2 linked regions of the Caenorhabditis elegans genome follow. The protein of the gene in region 1 interacts with the protein of each later gene in a pairwise test. Each region holds a gene or a part of one and is shown on either strand. Other genes may lie near its edges.

Evidence for each region.
Region 2: the proteins of emb-5 (region 1) and glp-1 interact in a two-hybrid assay, tested with the Caenorhabditis elegans proteins (one study listed by BioGRID).

What each region holds. Positions count from the first base shown.
Region 1 is NC_003281.10:4,714,784-4,722,664, forward strand, and holds emb-5 (Suppressor of Ty 6 homolog), read right to left. Parts: upstream 5,888-7,881; 5' UTR 5,883-5,887; coding exon 5,752-5,882; intron 5,705-5,751; coding exon 5,452-5,704; intron 5,379-5,451; coding exon 5,037-5,378; intron 4,987-5,036; coding exon 4,400-4,986; intron 4,356-4,399; coding exon 3,836-4,355; intron 3,783-3,835; coding exon 3,429-3,782; intron 3,382-3,428; coding exon 3,082-3,381; intron 3,034-3,081; coding exon 2,140-3,033; intron 2,093-2,139; coding exon 1,919-2,092; intron 1,867-1,918; coding exon 1,047-1,866; intron 995-1,046; coding exon 804-994; 3' UTR 510-803; downstream 1-509. Other genes in the region: him-18 (SAP domain-containing protein), read right to left, coding at 34-154, 206-261, 336-394; acy-1 (adenylate cyclase), read left to right, coding at 7,429-7,713. UniProt on the Caenorhabditis elegans protein: Histone H3-H4 chaperone that plays a role in maintenance of chromatin structure during RNA polymerase II transcription elongation.
Region 2 is NC_003281.10:9,090,425-9,098,241, forward strand, and holds the start of glp-1 (glp-1/Notch intracellular domain), read left to right. Parts: upstream 1-1,816; 5' UTR 1,817-1,888; coding exon 1,889-2,028; intron 2,029-2,888; coding exon 2,889-3,004; intron 3,005-3,644; coding exon 3,645-3,707; intron 3,708-4,226; coding exon 4,227-5,135; intron 5,136-5,435; coding exon 5,436-5,676; intron 5,677-5,981; coding exon 5,982-6,717; intron 6,718-7,124; coding exon 7,125-7,597; intron 7,598-7,647; coding exon 7,648-7,817. UniProt on the Caenorhabditis elegans protein: Essential signaling protein which has a major role in germline and embryonic development; involved in cell fate decisions that require cell-cell interactions. Probable membrane-bound receptor for putative ligands lag-2 and apx-1.

The sequences.
Region 1 (7,881 bases):
ACAGTGAGAAGAAACACAAATAATATTTCAAACCTTCTGGAATTCATCCAAAGAGTCATATCTCGTGCACACGTCGCACATTTTACAGGTTTCTTAGCCGGTGCTTCTTCATCATCGTCGCTCAGTGTGATCTCTTCGAAAGGAGAAGGAACATCTCAAAAAGTAAATTAATTGATTTAATTGGGAAATTTGATTTGAAACTTACTTTTGTCAGATTCATTTCTTACAATACTCTGCACACTTCCAAGTTTTTGAGGACGCCTAGAAAAAAAGACAGATATTTTTTAATTTACGTTTAGGTTAAATAGATACGACAGAAACAAAAACCTTACTACCTTGGCGCGGATGAGATCGAGTTTTGGGACAGTGCCTTTTTTAGTGATGAATCATTCATATGAGTAGAATCTAGAATACTTTTTTTTCTTCTAAAACTGAATTTGCAATTCTTATTCCAATATCAATTGTGATCAACGCATTCTACGTTTTTTCGTGATGATTTAGCAGTGATTCTGATTACGAAATTTATTGAGTAAACAACAAAAATGGTACTTGAATACAGAAAGAGCTCATGAACAGTATGACTGCTTGAATAAATATTTTGATAGATATATAAAAATGTTTGAAAAGTAAAAATCGAGGATGAACGGATTACCGAAATCAAAACAAATTATGTGGGATTAAGACAGATGGATGTTGTATTCTATAAATTAAAATTAGATCATCGTTGATAGACTGGAACAAAGGAAACAGGATTGAATGTGTCTGATAAGGTGTGGGTAATAAAGAGAATAAGATCAGGGTTTTCAGTGATAGCCGACGAATTGAGGAGGATAGTATGGAGCTGCTGGAGGAGCACCAACTCGATACTGTGGAGCCGGGATCGCAGATCGCCTTAACTCGATGGGAGGCTCGTGGAAATGGCGTTTGAACCAAGCCATCATTCGATCTAGCGTATCAAAGTTTTGATGTCGGAATCGGACTCCATGTGGGACAACTGTAAACAAAAATAGTTGAAAACTTTGTTCGTATCTCTTTTCGAAACTCACTTTTGAAATATTCATGTCGAATCCGTTCTGTATTATCGAACATATAAGAAATACAGAATTGGCATGGCTGTCTGTAGGATGCACTGAATACGTACGGAGATCGTCCCAGCTCTCGTTTCTTCTCTCGTACAAATTGCTCGACTGCTTCTGTTTCTTCGCATGTTCCATTTGGGAAGAAGTACTTGTGAGTTGTTATCTCGTGAGAGATCTGTATCATCGGTTGAACGAATCGAGCAATCAACTCATCAAGATCCTCGAAATCTTCTCCGCCGACTGAGAGTTGCCGACCAATGGAGAAAACTTGATCCTTTGCGGATTCTTTGACAAAGAAATTGTGATAGACGCGGTCACAAATCTTCCATGTCACAGAAAGACCAGAATCTTTATTAGCCGATGGACGAATAATACACTCAGACCAATCCATTTCATCCAACATTTTCGTAGCAGCTTCGTAGGATACATTATGGAAATTTGGATGCGCAATTACTCGCTTCACACGTGTATTTGCTTCTGTCTTCTTTTTCGATTCACTCTTCATCAGTTCCAAATCAGCTTGGTATTGATGCTCATCCCAGTACTGATCACGTTGAGATAAATCATCTTCTTTCAGATCCGAACTCTTACAACTTAGGAATAGTGAGAATCTCTCCTTGTCCAACTTGAGAACTTTGAAGTAATATGGCTGATTTATCTTGACTCGGGTTAATGGATTGTCTACGTGACTTGATGAGATGTTCTTGTTCGGACAGAATCCAGTCATTCCATTGTCAAATCTGACTCGAATTCCGACTGGTGTTCCAGGACATCCACCTTGACGAGACTGAAATAATTTAACATTGGTTAACGAATAGTATTAGTTGAGAAAAACTTACGTCACCGAGCATATGTTCTTGAATTCCACCAGGAGCCGAAGATGTGAACGATTTACAACATGGACAAGTGAAAAGACCATCTTCTCCAACATCAGGTAACATGCTGTCTGCTGCATCTTTGTCAACTTTACGGTACTGCACAGATTGAACTGTTCCCAACACTTTAGCTCCTTCCTGCAAAAATAAAAATAAAATCGACAGAATTATTACAAGTAACATACTCTAATTTCTTTTCCTGAACGAGCCAAAAGATCATACAAAAGCTCTCCGGTAGGTTCTTGGAATGGTTGCCGAAGATCTTTATATCTCGCACTCAACTCGCTTGAGATGTCATACAACGTCGACTTTTTCTCTCCGAATCCTTGTCGACTCAATTCATCGGCAAACGCGTCCAAATCGAGATCTCTCAAACGATCAGGAGATTCCATGATTTCTTGAAGAGCCGCAGTTGGATCAGCAGAATCATCAACCTCCAACGCATCCACAGCCATCTTTCTAGCCCATTCATAGGTCTCTGGATGTACTCTCGAACCGTCAAGAACTTCAACATAAGCGTCAGTCTTCTCCGATACCTTGATAGTGTCAATTTTGATGAATCCAGCACAGTTCATAAATACTTTTGGTCCCAGTTTGCATCCAACCACAAGTTTCGATCTACTCTCTATCAAATTATCGTTAGCTTTTATGCTTTTCAGAAGATCAGTGGCTTTTCGTGGACCCAATCCGCATGTGAACTGGAGCATGTTAGTGTAGTGAGGGAATTCTGCACATTTATTGATATCAACACCTTCTTCGTTGACCTTGTTCACCAATTCATGACTGAGAACCAAAGCCAATTGCTCTTGATCGATATCCCGTTGAAGCGGATGCAGAGAGAGACAGAAAATATCTTCATCAATATTCCACAAATGAGCATACTCTGGGATGGGATCCAAAAGAAGACGAGCTAGGGATAAAGCTTGTCGGAGCGTCGGTGGATGATCTGGATTCTCCGCCAACGAAACATTCGATCTCATGTAGACTTTTGCGGCTTCGTTGTCCATCAAAAATACTGGAATTGGTTTGTAGATCAAGTTCTGCGAGAAAAGATCTGCCACAGCTTCCTCGAGGTCTCTCTGAAAATTGCAGTTTTTAAGTATCAAATGTTCAAAACTAGTGCAAACCTTCAATCGAGTACACTCCATATCCTCAATATTCAATCCAATAGCATGAGGTTTTCGTCTCTGTACAAACTTCTTAAACAAATCCATTGACTCGGCCTTCCTTAGTCCATTGTTTCCACCGCCAAACGTTCGTTTCGTGAAATGAACCATTCGAAGATAATCAACAATTGCACCATTTTCATCAACCATTACACCAAATGAAGCTTCGTCTCGCTCTGTTGGATAGCACACTGCCATGATTCGACGAGCTCCATGTTGATCCATACCATCATCATCGTCATCGTTATTATCGAAATCCGGCTGAAATAAAACAAAACAATTACATAGTTATTAAATCAAATTAATACCAGATATCCTGATCTAGAAATTCGAGATGCAAACTCCTTTCTACATTTCTTTGCTACTGCAGTCTTTGCTTCTTCAAGAATCGTATTATACAACTCATCCCTCATGTAGGGTACAAGCATTTCAGTTATAGCCATATTCACACACTCATCTCTCACTGAATTCCATTGTTCAACATTTTCCGTGTATTCGTCTTTTTGGAAAATGGAATCACTTAGATACTTGTTAACGAGGTAGTTATTTGAATCCTGATCTTCTTCAGATTCATACATGATGAGCACATCAACAAGACCATCCTCTTTGGCTTTGTGATAGAAGAGGAACTCTTCAGCGGTGAGACTTCGAACTGGTTTACTCTAAAAATATATATTTATTAAAATCCTAGACATTTATTTCAAATAATTCTCACCTTGATATACCGTTTGTCATAGAGGGGATGAGTTTGATCAATTGTATCACGTCCTTTCTTCGTTGGCTTGATCCAAAAATGTGCAGACTGGCGGAATTCTTGCCGAACACTATGCCTGACTTGTGGTTGTCGACTGATCTCCTTGGCAAGCATGAATTTCGCACCATTCAGAACCATATCACTGTCACTGAACGCAGGACAAACATACTCTTCTGCTGCTTCCAATGGTAACATCGGATCTTGCTCAATGTCGTGTTTTTTCCAGTTCAAATTTTCAGAAAACTGTTTTGCAGTCAATCCAAACCGTCCAGCAAGCTCTCCGATTCCGTTTTCCACACACATTTGATACTTATCATTACGAATGCTTGACTTGAACTTGACTCGATACTCTTGTTCCTCTTCTTCACCGGTTAAACGTCCTTTTTCCCATCTAATCATATCGTCGAGAAGAGCACCGTACAACAATTGGAAATTTGCATGTATGTCGGTAAGCTGTTCAAGAGTTTCTGCGTATTTTGTGCTGAAAAATAATTTAAATTCTAAATTTTAAATTTTAAAACTTACTCCATCAAATCTGCATCCGAAATCGGTCGTCTTTTTGCGGTCAAATCGTCACTGAGTTCCTGATACTCTCTCATCCGACGCATTAAATCGTAAATTTTATTTTTCTTCTCTGACAAATGACACCATTTTTCGTCAAAATCGTATACTCTCCATAGATTATTCATTGTCAGAAGATTGTCAATATCTTCTTTACGATAAAATCCAATAAACGTAGGTTCGAACGAATTAGAACGAACTCGAATGAATTGGAGAACTTTCTTGATGGATTTTATAACAGCTTTCTTTCTATCTTCATAGACAGAAGGATCCAGATTCATTATACAATCAAGTTTATCGTCTTGATCCAGGTCAGCTTGATTTGTCACTGTCCCTTCTTCGAAGGCATATTTAATAATCCATAGAGCTTCAGATTCCAGTTCATCATCATCCGCTTCTGTAACTGGTGTTCTTCTGAGTTGGAACCTCTCTGGTAAATCTTCTTTCGCGATTTTCTTATCCCCAGGTAACAAGAATCCACGATCAATTTCACTTGGTTCGATGGATTCGAGAAGTGTTGACTTCTTTGTAGTATCCTTCTTTCTGCGTATCTGAACCATTCCTATTTCAATAATGCAAAGCTTTTCTCAAAAATTCCAACCTTTATCTCTCCTCCTTCACCATCATCTTCTATTATTTCCTCCTCTTCGTCTTCTAGACCATCCTCGCCATCATCATCGTCGTAAAACTCGTCCAAATTGAAGTCTTCCACTCCGAATACATCACGGGCGTCATCTTCAGCGCCTTCTGGGAGATTTTCGTCTCCACGATGACGTTTCCGATGTCTTCGTGGCGCATCTCCATCGTCCTCAATAAAGTCATCCTCACTTCTTTCAGACTCTGATCCGTAACCACCGCGATCTCCACGACCACGATCTTTTCGCCTGTCTCCATCGTCACTTCCTCGTTCGGAAAGCAAATCATCATCTTCGTGGTTGGGTCTCTGAAATTCCGAATTTGATTATTATTATTATTATGAATTTTAGTGGCAATTGAAAAAAATCGAAATTACTCACTCGTATCGGCTCATCTTCATCACTGGAATCACCCAATTGAACTCGATTTTGTTTTTTCGTCTCTCGAATATCATAATTCTCATTGATCAAATCAAGATCTTCATCGTCGAGCTCATCTTCTCCCGAGTGCCGAGATTTTTCTGACTTCTCCGATTTTGCGTCCTCTTCTTCATCGTCATCATCTGCAATGAATCCCTGCATTTCTTTACGGTTTTCCTCTTCATCGTCATCGTCGTCTTCATCTTCGTCAGAACTAAAAATGAACAAATGAAAATAGAAATACCCCGGAATTATAATTACCTGGCAACCATTTTCTTCTTTCTTTTTGATTTTTCCTTTGCCATTTTCATCTTTTTCGACTGTGGTTCTTCATCATCAGAATGGCCCGAGGAGGCATCTGATTCTTCGGCTTGATTATCGATAAAATCCATTACCTGCAACAAATTCAGTTAATTTCACTTGGGAAGAACGAAATTTCATAATACAAAAATTTCGAAAAGCACAAAGAGCAAAATTAAGAAAATTGCAAACAGCTCACAGTGCGGAAAAGGTTTAAAAGTGAAAGAAAACTGAAAAATCTTATTTTGTGCAAAAAAAATTAGCCAGATAGGTGAAAAATGACGGATTTTACGCGGTTTTTAGGCCAAACGAGCGAAAATTAATCAATAAAGAAAACGGAGAAAGAAGGAAACCGGCCATTCGGGTCGAGGACAAAAATAAAAATGAGACGATTTTCTGAATTTGAACGCGAAGCGATTTATGCAACTGCGCCCCATTGTGATGCTAGGCGAGAGAGTGTGGGATTGCAAGAGGCGGGTAGAGATAGAAAAACGCGGTCGTTTAAAAAATATCGCTTTCCCGAGTTTCGCGTATTTTAGGAATTATATGTTTCATTTTAAAGCGATATTGCGAAAAGTGATTTCGATTCATCTTTATTGCGTGATAGGTAAACAAATTGGTTCATTTAGCAAGCATCCAAGACGACGAAATACGATAACCGGGGTATTCAGAATTGTTGCGAAAAATGTAATAGCTATATAGCTATGTGAAATTATTTAGGCATAAAAGATTAATTTTCATTCAACTACCATGTTCAATTTTGAAGGTTTATTCTTCACAGACTCATTCTTTCATCAACAAAAATCTTACCACGAAGAAAAACTTTATCAAATACCGTACCAGCGAGTATGATAGAAGCTTTTTAAAAGTTTTTTTTCCTTATTTCCCGATTTCAAATATATACGTAGATTTTTTCGAGGAAAAATCAATTCATAAGTTCTGTAATTTCAGGAGAAATTTGGCGAGAAAGATTGAGGTACTACAGTACTCCCGAGTACGGTAGTTGAAAAAGTTTCGCTTGAATCAGTGTTTCAATTCTAGATATACGCCCTACCAGATGCCTAGGGGGTAAGTGCCTACAGTGAAGGTTCACTTAAACTGCATTACTTTGATAACCTGAACCTGCTGATCATCATATCCGAAAAACCCCCAAGATATTCACTTGCTGACCATTTTTCATTAGTTGAAGTCCTAATTTCCATCGCTAATTATTCATTCATTTGCTGTTTCCGACATACTTATCAAATCCCATGGGATCCCCCGAATCCATGAGCACAATAATCGAAAGATTGAGGCTCAATGTCTATTCTCCATCCTCTCTCTCTCTCTTCCACACTCTTGGACCCGCCCCACCCTGGGGCCAGTCGAGCGCGCAGCTTTTCGTTTCAAACTCTGCGCCTCTCTCATTCCAAAGCTCTCTGCGCACTTTCTTTTACTCTCTTTTTCTCTGAAAAGGCTTTCAAAAGTAAGTGAGAGATTGGAAGAGAGTGAACGAGAGAAAAAGAGTAAGCAGTTGGGGGGAGTAGGAGGCGAAGGAGGGGGAACAACTACTACTCGCTCTCCTCTACTTGCCTCATCTTCTTCCTTTTCATTTTTCAACGTCTTCTATTCTGAAGATTCTTCTTGTCTTCTGGATTCATGGACGACGATGTCGGTGAACGAACACCGGCTCTCGGTGGTTCATGTGGACCATCAGTTCGTGCACACAGTAGTTCCCCAAGACGTGTTCCATTATTTGAGAGAGCATCTGCTAGATGGTGGAATCCTCAATTTCGATCTGCAACACTAGAAGCTCAATATTGGAAGTGTAGTTTCAGTCAGTTAAGAGATCGATTTCGTTCTGGATTAATATATATTGCCGTTGTAATTGCCGCTTGGACACTTTATTTAGCTTTATTCGATAGAACTTTTATTCAGCATTGGGTGAGTTTTTATTTGTTTTTTTTTTGGAAAAAAATCTAGAATTCATTGCTAAAAAAATATCAAAACAAAAAATTCTCGGCCCGGCTTGTGTGAATTATTCAAATCGTGGAGCTCCGTAAAAAATTCAAGGAGGTCATTTGCATTTTCTATGGTTCCTTCCTTCCGATT
Region 2 (7,817 bases), 4.4 Mb from region 1:
CTTAAAAATTCAATTAAAGTTGTAAAATTAATCCTAACTCCTTGTGCTGTACAAAACCCATTTTATGGAAACATTCAGAATCCCCAATACTTTTTCTCTTTTCTCACATGACCTTATAGTTTATCTTCCGAATGCTGAATGTTTTTTCTTCAGTACAAATGTTTTGAATACCTAGGTAACCTCGAGTATGAGAAACAACATTAACAATGTTTTGGGAGAAACATGTAGTTTTGTACGTCCGGTCCAGTGAGAGTTTTCAACTTATTTTGGAAGAAATTTTTTTTTGACAAAATTTTGCAATTTCCCACGCAGAAATACGGTATGCCCCGTATCTCGCCACGAACATAATATTTTAAATTGACGGAAAGGTGTGCGCCTTTAAGAAGCACAGTAACCATTTTCCGGTTTTTTTTTTGAAATTGCCTTTGATTTTTACTTTTTTCTCCCAAAAACGAGAAATTTAATATAATCCATCAAAATCTTTGTGAACGAGAGAAATATAGTGAAAAACTCAAAGAAAATTGCGAAATGGATTACTGTACTCCATAAAGGCGCACATCTTTTCGAAAAATCGTGAAAAATTGCATCTGACCAACAGTTTTGCGTGGAATCTTCCTAGATTCAAATTTCCTATGAGTCATAAAACTATCATTTTATCGGACAATAACTACACGTGTACCTTGTTTCCATATGTTCTACCAATATAATTTGTGTTCATATGTGGCCAGGTACGGGAAATTAGAACACGGACTGATTTAGGAAGGTTCAAATTCGAGAACAATGGACGACTTGCTGCACGAAAACGTGGATTATTCTGAAACCGCCTATGTGATCACTATCGATTTAGCACTTCGGTTTTCTTTTTCCGTTTTCCTTTATATTCCGTATTGTATGCCGACAATAACGCTTTTTCTTTGTATAAACATTTCCAGAAGCAGAGCAAATTTGTTTATTCCAGAATTGACTGAATATTGAAATAATGTTTACAGACATACTGTAGATTTTTTTCTATTCAAACATGAATACAGTTTTTCGTATTTTTAATCTTCAGATAAGTTTTGTGTGTGTTTTTGAGAATAATATTTAAAAAAGATAAGCAAATATCAGAACTACGGTAAGCGAAGGGGTACGGTCGTCAATTGCGGACTTCCGAGCTGTGCACGGCGCCAAAATTTATTTTGAGTTTTAAAATGATTTTCTTTGTTTTTTTTTCTTTTTTTGACACGATAAGAACATTTTTCTGTATTTCTAATATTTTAAATGAGATCGTAATAAGTTTATTTAGCTCCATCACATTATTTTCGGAATATTCATCGCTTGAAAACGGCGTAAAATAGGTTCCAAGTAAATCATTGCAAACAAATCTCCGTTTATCGTTCTAACAAAGTTTTTCGTTCACTTTCTTATGTAAATCGTTTTCCCCACTTCTTCTTCACGGGAATGATCAATTGAAAGGCCATAAATTGGTTGTTTTCTCCACATTTCGCAACCAACATGCAGCTGTCGGATAGGCAATAAAATAATGTAATCAATGAGTTTTCCGATTTATCCTAACAGTTCTTTTTCTAGTGTTCCTATTCGAAAAAAGTACTGTTATCCTTCTTTTTGGACCGCCCATCTCAGGTGTCAAGACAATCGCAACACACTCAGAAAATGGGCGGAGTATGCCACCCGGCCTTCATTCGTCGCTCCTTGTCTTCTCCATTTTCGTTTTTTTCCTGTTCTCCGTTCTTTTTTTGTACTTTTGTGATAATGCTGAAGTGTTCTTTTTTTTCGCTTAACCGCATCTCTTGATTTAATTCATATTTTCTTTCAGATTCATGTACAATAACACCAAGAGCTGCTCTAACAACTAATAATAACAGAATCTCGAACAGCGAACACAACAATGCGAGTTCTTCTAATTTTACTCGCGTTTTTTGCGCCAATCGCCAGTCAACTTATGGGTGGAGAATGCGGAAGGGAAGGTGCTTGCTCCGTCAATGGAAAATGCTATAATGGAAAACTGATTGAGACATACTGGTGCCGGTAAGCATATATTTCATTCTCCCATGTCAATGTTATTCATCCGCTTTCTCATGAACCGTGACGAAAAGAACAAAAAAAAGAAAGTTTGGGCAGGTGGTGGTGGTGGGAAACAGGCGATAGATAAACAAAAGCTTGGTGTAGAGAACATTTTGAATAATATCCGAAAGTTGAATTATCACTGTCCATATTTCCCTCTAAGACATCATTAAACGCCACCCGGCTTGCAGAATGGGAACACAATGAACAGCAGGAGGCTGTCACAATGTAAAATCTCGTAAATCGTTCGGGAAATCTAAAAAATTGTTATTTAGTTTTCCCTTTTCTCTACAAACAATTCATTTTTCTTATCAATAACTTTGAGTTCCAAAGGCAAAATTTACAGCCGTTTACAGCCATCTTCCCAGGGTTGTCGGCGAATTTATATGGACGTTCATAAAACAATTGGATTAGCGTGTCGGTTCTTTAATCTTGTCTTTTCTTATTACTATCTAGCTCGTTTGATTAGTTATACAGAGAGTATCAACGTATTTATCGATAGGAAAATTGCGCCATGATGCTCTAAAATACATAAAATCGCTCGATTTATCTGAAAATAACACTTATTTCAGCTTAAAAATGTGAGAAAATGGTCCAAAATTGTCTGAAAGTTGTTGAGTGAATTATCGAGATTTGTTTTCTGATCACTTTCACGAATATATCAGCTGAAAAATTGTTATTTTCAAGTAAATCGATATATTTTGCCACGATTTTTGATTAAAAATACTGTAATTTATTGATTGTCACCCACCACTGGCCCACAGTCATAAATTGTCTCAATTGAATTACTTTTCAGTTTAAAAATAATTTAATCAAATTTACAGTTGCAAAAAAGGATTCGGAGGTGCTTTCTGTGAACGTGAATGCGATTTGGATTGTAAACGAGGCGAGAAGTGCATCTACGATGTTTATGGTGAAAATCCGACGTGTATCTGTCAAGGTAATTTTGTGAATCCTAAAATCTGTTAAATATCATAATATTTTGCCCGAAACGACCTATTTTCATAATGGGACTTCTCAAATCTTTAAATCAAATTATCGCCTTTTTGCATAGTTTGATAAATACTTTATCTCGATTCAAGTGTATTCTAATCAATCATTTTAAGATTTTAAACGTTTCAAATTCAAAATTTTGTTCCATGTTTTACTTCCACCTTTTTCTTCATCTGCCCTTTTTCATAGCGGCAATCTTTTTCACCACATCATCCATCATCACACTGCGAGTGTATTTTTCTTTGATTGTGCCCGACTTGTACGCAATTTTTTGTTTCAGGATATATCAAAATTTCGAAAACTTATTAGGGAAAACACGCGACCATACGTATAATAATTCTCCCGGGAGATCCCAACATTGACAAATTGTACCGCATTCGTGGTATCCTATTTTTCATTTCTACGCTCTCAAAATGACCGCTAGTGATAGATAGCTTCTACTAGGTCATATTCGCACATCTTCATCGCCTTTGTCATGCGATTTATTGCAAATGTTCGGTTTCATTGCGCGGGGGCAGTAGTATAAATCAAGCAGATGTTGTTACACAGACAGCCATGAGAAAATATTTATAAGTTTTATTATTCAGATTGCGAAGACGAGACTCCTCCAACAGAACGTACTCAAAAAGGCTGTGAAGAAGGCTATGGAGGTGAGTAAAGTTTGGATAATGTATGATTACTAATAGTCAATGACTTTGTATCACAATTATTGTTGTTTTGAGCAACAATTGACAGCTATTTTAATTTTTAAAAAGTTGCAAAATTGTTTTTTTTTCAATTTTATATTTTTCGAAAACACAAAGGACCAATGAAATTATCAGATTTTAAAAAATATAGTAAAAAATAAATTAAATATATTTAATTTAATTTAACATATTCTAATAAGAAATGCGCGAGATCCAAGTCTCCCACTGTGATAACTTTTTCCATCTGTTGTCGGAACCGATTTGATCTCAAATAAATCAAAATATTGCGTGTTCTTTTTCTCTATTTTACCGTAATGAGATTGACACCTTTCTCATCTCAAAGGAAATAATCGGCGGTTGGGGGTAATGAGGTGTGAATGGCTATTAGGAAAAACAAACTTCCGCCGGAATTTGAATTTAAATTCCACTTTTTTTAAAAAGAAGACAAAGGCCTATCCGTGATTAATACATTAATATTTTCAGGTCCTGACTGCAAAACTCCTCTATTTTCGGGAGTAAATCCATGCGATTCGGATCCTTGCAACAACGGACTCTGCTATCCATTCTATGGTGGATTTCAGTGCATATGCAACAATGGATATGGAGGATCGTATTGTGAAGAAGGAATCGATCATTGTGCTCAAAATGAATGCGCAGAAGGTTCAACGTGTGTCAATAGTGTATACAACTATTACTGTGATTGCCCAATTGGAAAATCCGGTCGATATTGTGAACGAACTGAATGTGCTTTGATGGGAAACATTTGCAATCATGGAAGATGTATTCCGAACAGAGATGAAGACAAGAACTTCAGATGTGTATGCGACTCGGGATACGAGGGAGAATTTTGCAATAAGGATAAAAACGAATGCCTCATCGAAGAAACGTGTGTTAACAACTCTACATGTTTCAATTTGCACGGTGATTTTACTTGTACCTGTAAACCTGGATACGCTGGAAAGTATTGCGAGGAGGCTATCGACATGTGCAAGGATTACGTTTGCCAAAATGATGGATACTGTGCCCATGACTCGAATCAGATGCCAATTTGTTATTGCGAACAAGGATTCACTGGACAACGATGTGAGATTGAGTGTCCTTCAGGATTCGGGGGAATTCATTGTGATCTTCCACTACAGAGACCACACTGCTCTCGGAGCAATGGAACGTGTTACAACGATGGAAGATGTATAAATGGTTTCTGTGTCTGTGAACCTGATTATATTGGAGATCGATGTGAGATTAATAGGAAAGATTTCAAGTTCCCAGATATTCAGTCATGCAAATACAATCCGTGTGTGAATAATGCGACTTGTATCGATCTCAAAAACAGTGGATATTCATGTCATTGTCCGCTTGGATTCTATGGATTGAACTGCGAGCAACATTTGTGTAAGTTCGAAAATTTTATTTTTATATACGACAAACGCGCCTTTAAAGAGTACTGTAGTTTCAAACGGTGAAATTTTCATCAATTTTTCAGCTTTTTAACATCAAATCTACATAGACTACACAGACTTAAATTTTGAAAAATCAATGGCAATCCCGGAGCAAGGAGAGTTTTTAAACTACAGTACTCTTTAGGAGCGCACATTTTTTCGCATTTAACAAAATTTTTGTCGTGGCGAGACCTGATACCGTATTTTTAGCTCAAGATTACTAGGCAGCATTCTTAATATCAACAAACTTCAGTGTGCACTCCAACTACATGTGCTAACGGAGGTACTTGTGAAGGTGTGAATGGCGTTATCAGATGTAACTGCCCCAACGGATTCTCTGGAGATTACTGCGAAATAAAGGATAGACAGTTATGCTCCAGACATCCATGCAAGAACGGAGGAGTTTGTAAGAATACTGGATATTGCGAATGCCAATATGGATACACTGGACCCACTTGTGAAGAAGTTCTAGTTATCGAGAAATCAAAAGAGACGTTAGTTTTCTTGGATACTATAAAGAATGCAGCCCAGAAAAATAATTTATTGAAGTAAAAAGCGGTTTCAATGAAATAAATACCTAATTTTAGCTCAAATCTCTAATTTTGCCAGCTTCGGTTTGTGTGACACGGGGAAGGTGTTAAATAAAATTTCTTTAGCTAAAATAAGGCTGTCTTTTTCCAAGATTTGAACTGCCATGATTTATTTGGAATTATTTTTTTGAGCCACTTGGAGTATAATGACGATGAAGATAAAATTCCTTCAAAATTTGTATTCAAGGTATTAAATGTGAACATTTCAGTGTCATTCGTGATCTATGCGAGCAACGAAAGTGTATGGATCTTGCTTCCAATGGTATTTGCAACCCGGAATGCAATTTGGAAGAATGTAATTTTGATGGAGGTGATTGCTCAGGAGGGCAAAGACCATTCTCCAAATGTCAATACCCTGCAAGATGTGCTGATCAATTCGCAAATGGAGTCTGTAATCAGGAATGCAATAATGAAGAATGTCTTTACGATGGATTGGACTGTCAATCAGAGTTATTTCGATGCCCAGCTCATATTCGGAAACATTGTATTGAAAGACGAGGCGATGGAGTTTGTAATTTAGAATGCAGTTTCATTGGATGTGGTTTTGACGGTGGAGATTGCAATAACGGAACAGAAGCAATAATCCTCAGTGATATTCGTATAAAAGTTCAAATTGATCCTATTGAATTCCAAGCTACCGGAGGAGAAACACTAATGCAAATCAGTGCAAATCTTCGAGCAACCGTACGTATTCAACGGGATGAACTTGGACCTCTTGTATTCAGATGGGATGGTGAACATGAAATGGAAAGAGTTGAGATGAATAGTAGCAAGCTCGAAGATCAATTTGTACTTTCGCATCACGTTCGCAGGTATCGGCAAGCTGTTGTCACTGGAATTGTCTTGTATTTGGAAGTCGAAGAAATATGTAAACCCGAGTTTTGCCGATTTTCAACAGCGCAAAGTGTCGTTGATTTGATTGCTGCTGGACTTGTGAAGTCTGATGTAAGTTATTTTTATGTGGAGTACGGCACCGGGCTGGAAACAAAATAATTTGGACCGAAATAACAAAAAAAATTAAATTTGTGAAAAATCCAAAAAGGTAGATTTCCGGTTCACTTTTCACTTTTTAGAAGAAAATCATCCGCGTTTTGCTAAAAATATTTGTAAAACATAAAAAAATGTTTGAAGTACAGAAAATTAGTTTTTGAATCCAAAACCAAAAAAACAATTTTTCGTCAAAATATCAAAAAGTCCCAGCACTGGTGGGGCTTAAAATCTATTTTTATGGTGATAAAATGACCAAATATAATTTTTAAAAATTAGAAAAATTTTATAGTATATTTCGAGCCAAAAAGCGGTGAACCTTTAATTGTTTGAGTTATGGAAAATAATAATTAAAACATTTTCAGGGTCGTATGTCTCTGGGTCTCCCAATTACGGAAGCAATGGTAGCTGTTCCAAAGAGAAACGAAATCGATGAAGGATGGTCTCGCAGTCAAGTTATTCTGTTTGCATGTATTGCATTTTTGGCTTTTGGAACTGTTGTCGCTGGTGTTATCGCAAAGAATGGTCCAGAAAGAAGTAGAAAAAGAAAAATGGTGAACGCAACAGTCTGGATGCCTCCGATGGAATCAACGAACGAGAAAGGTCGTCGGAATCAGTCAAATCATTCGAGTCAGTGCTCTCTTCTTGACAATTCTGCCTACTATCACCCCAATACCAAGAGACACTGTAGCGATTATAGTACCGGCTACAATGGAGAACAATATTCACAGATTTATCCACAAACTCTCGCAAATGGATATCCCGGTGATTACAACGAATTGAACTTTGACTTTCAATCTGAGACGTTCGCACCAGCTGATCTACCAGCCGACGAAATGTGAGTGAATCTTTATAGTTTTATTATAATTATTGTTATGTTTCTTTCAGCCCTCTCCATGTTCAAGCTGCAGGACCAGATGCGATTACAGCTCCAATCACAAATGAGTCAGTCAATCAAGTGGATTCAAAGTATAGACGACGAGTTCTGCACTGGCTTGCTGCCAATGTCAGAGGAAAACCGGAAGATGTCATTACAACAGAGGCAATTCGATGCTTGA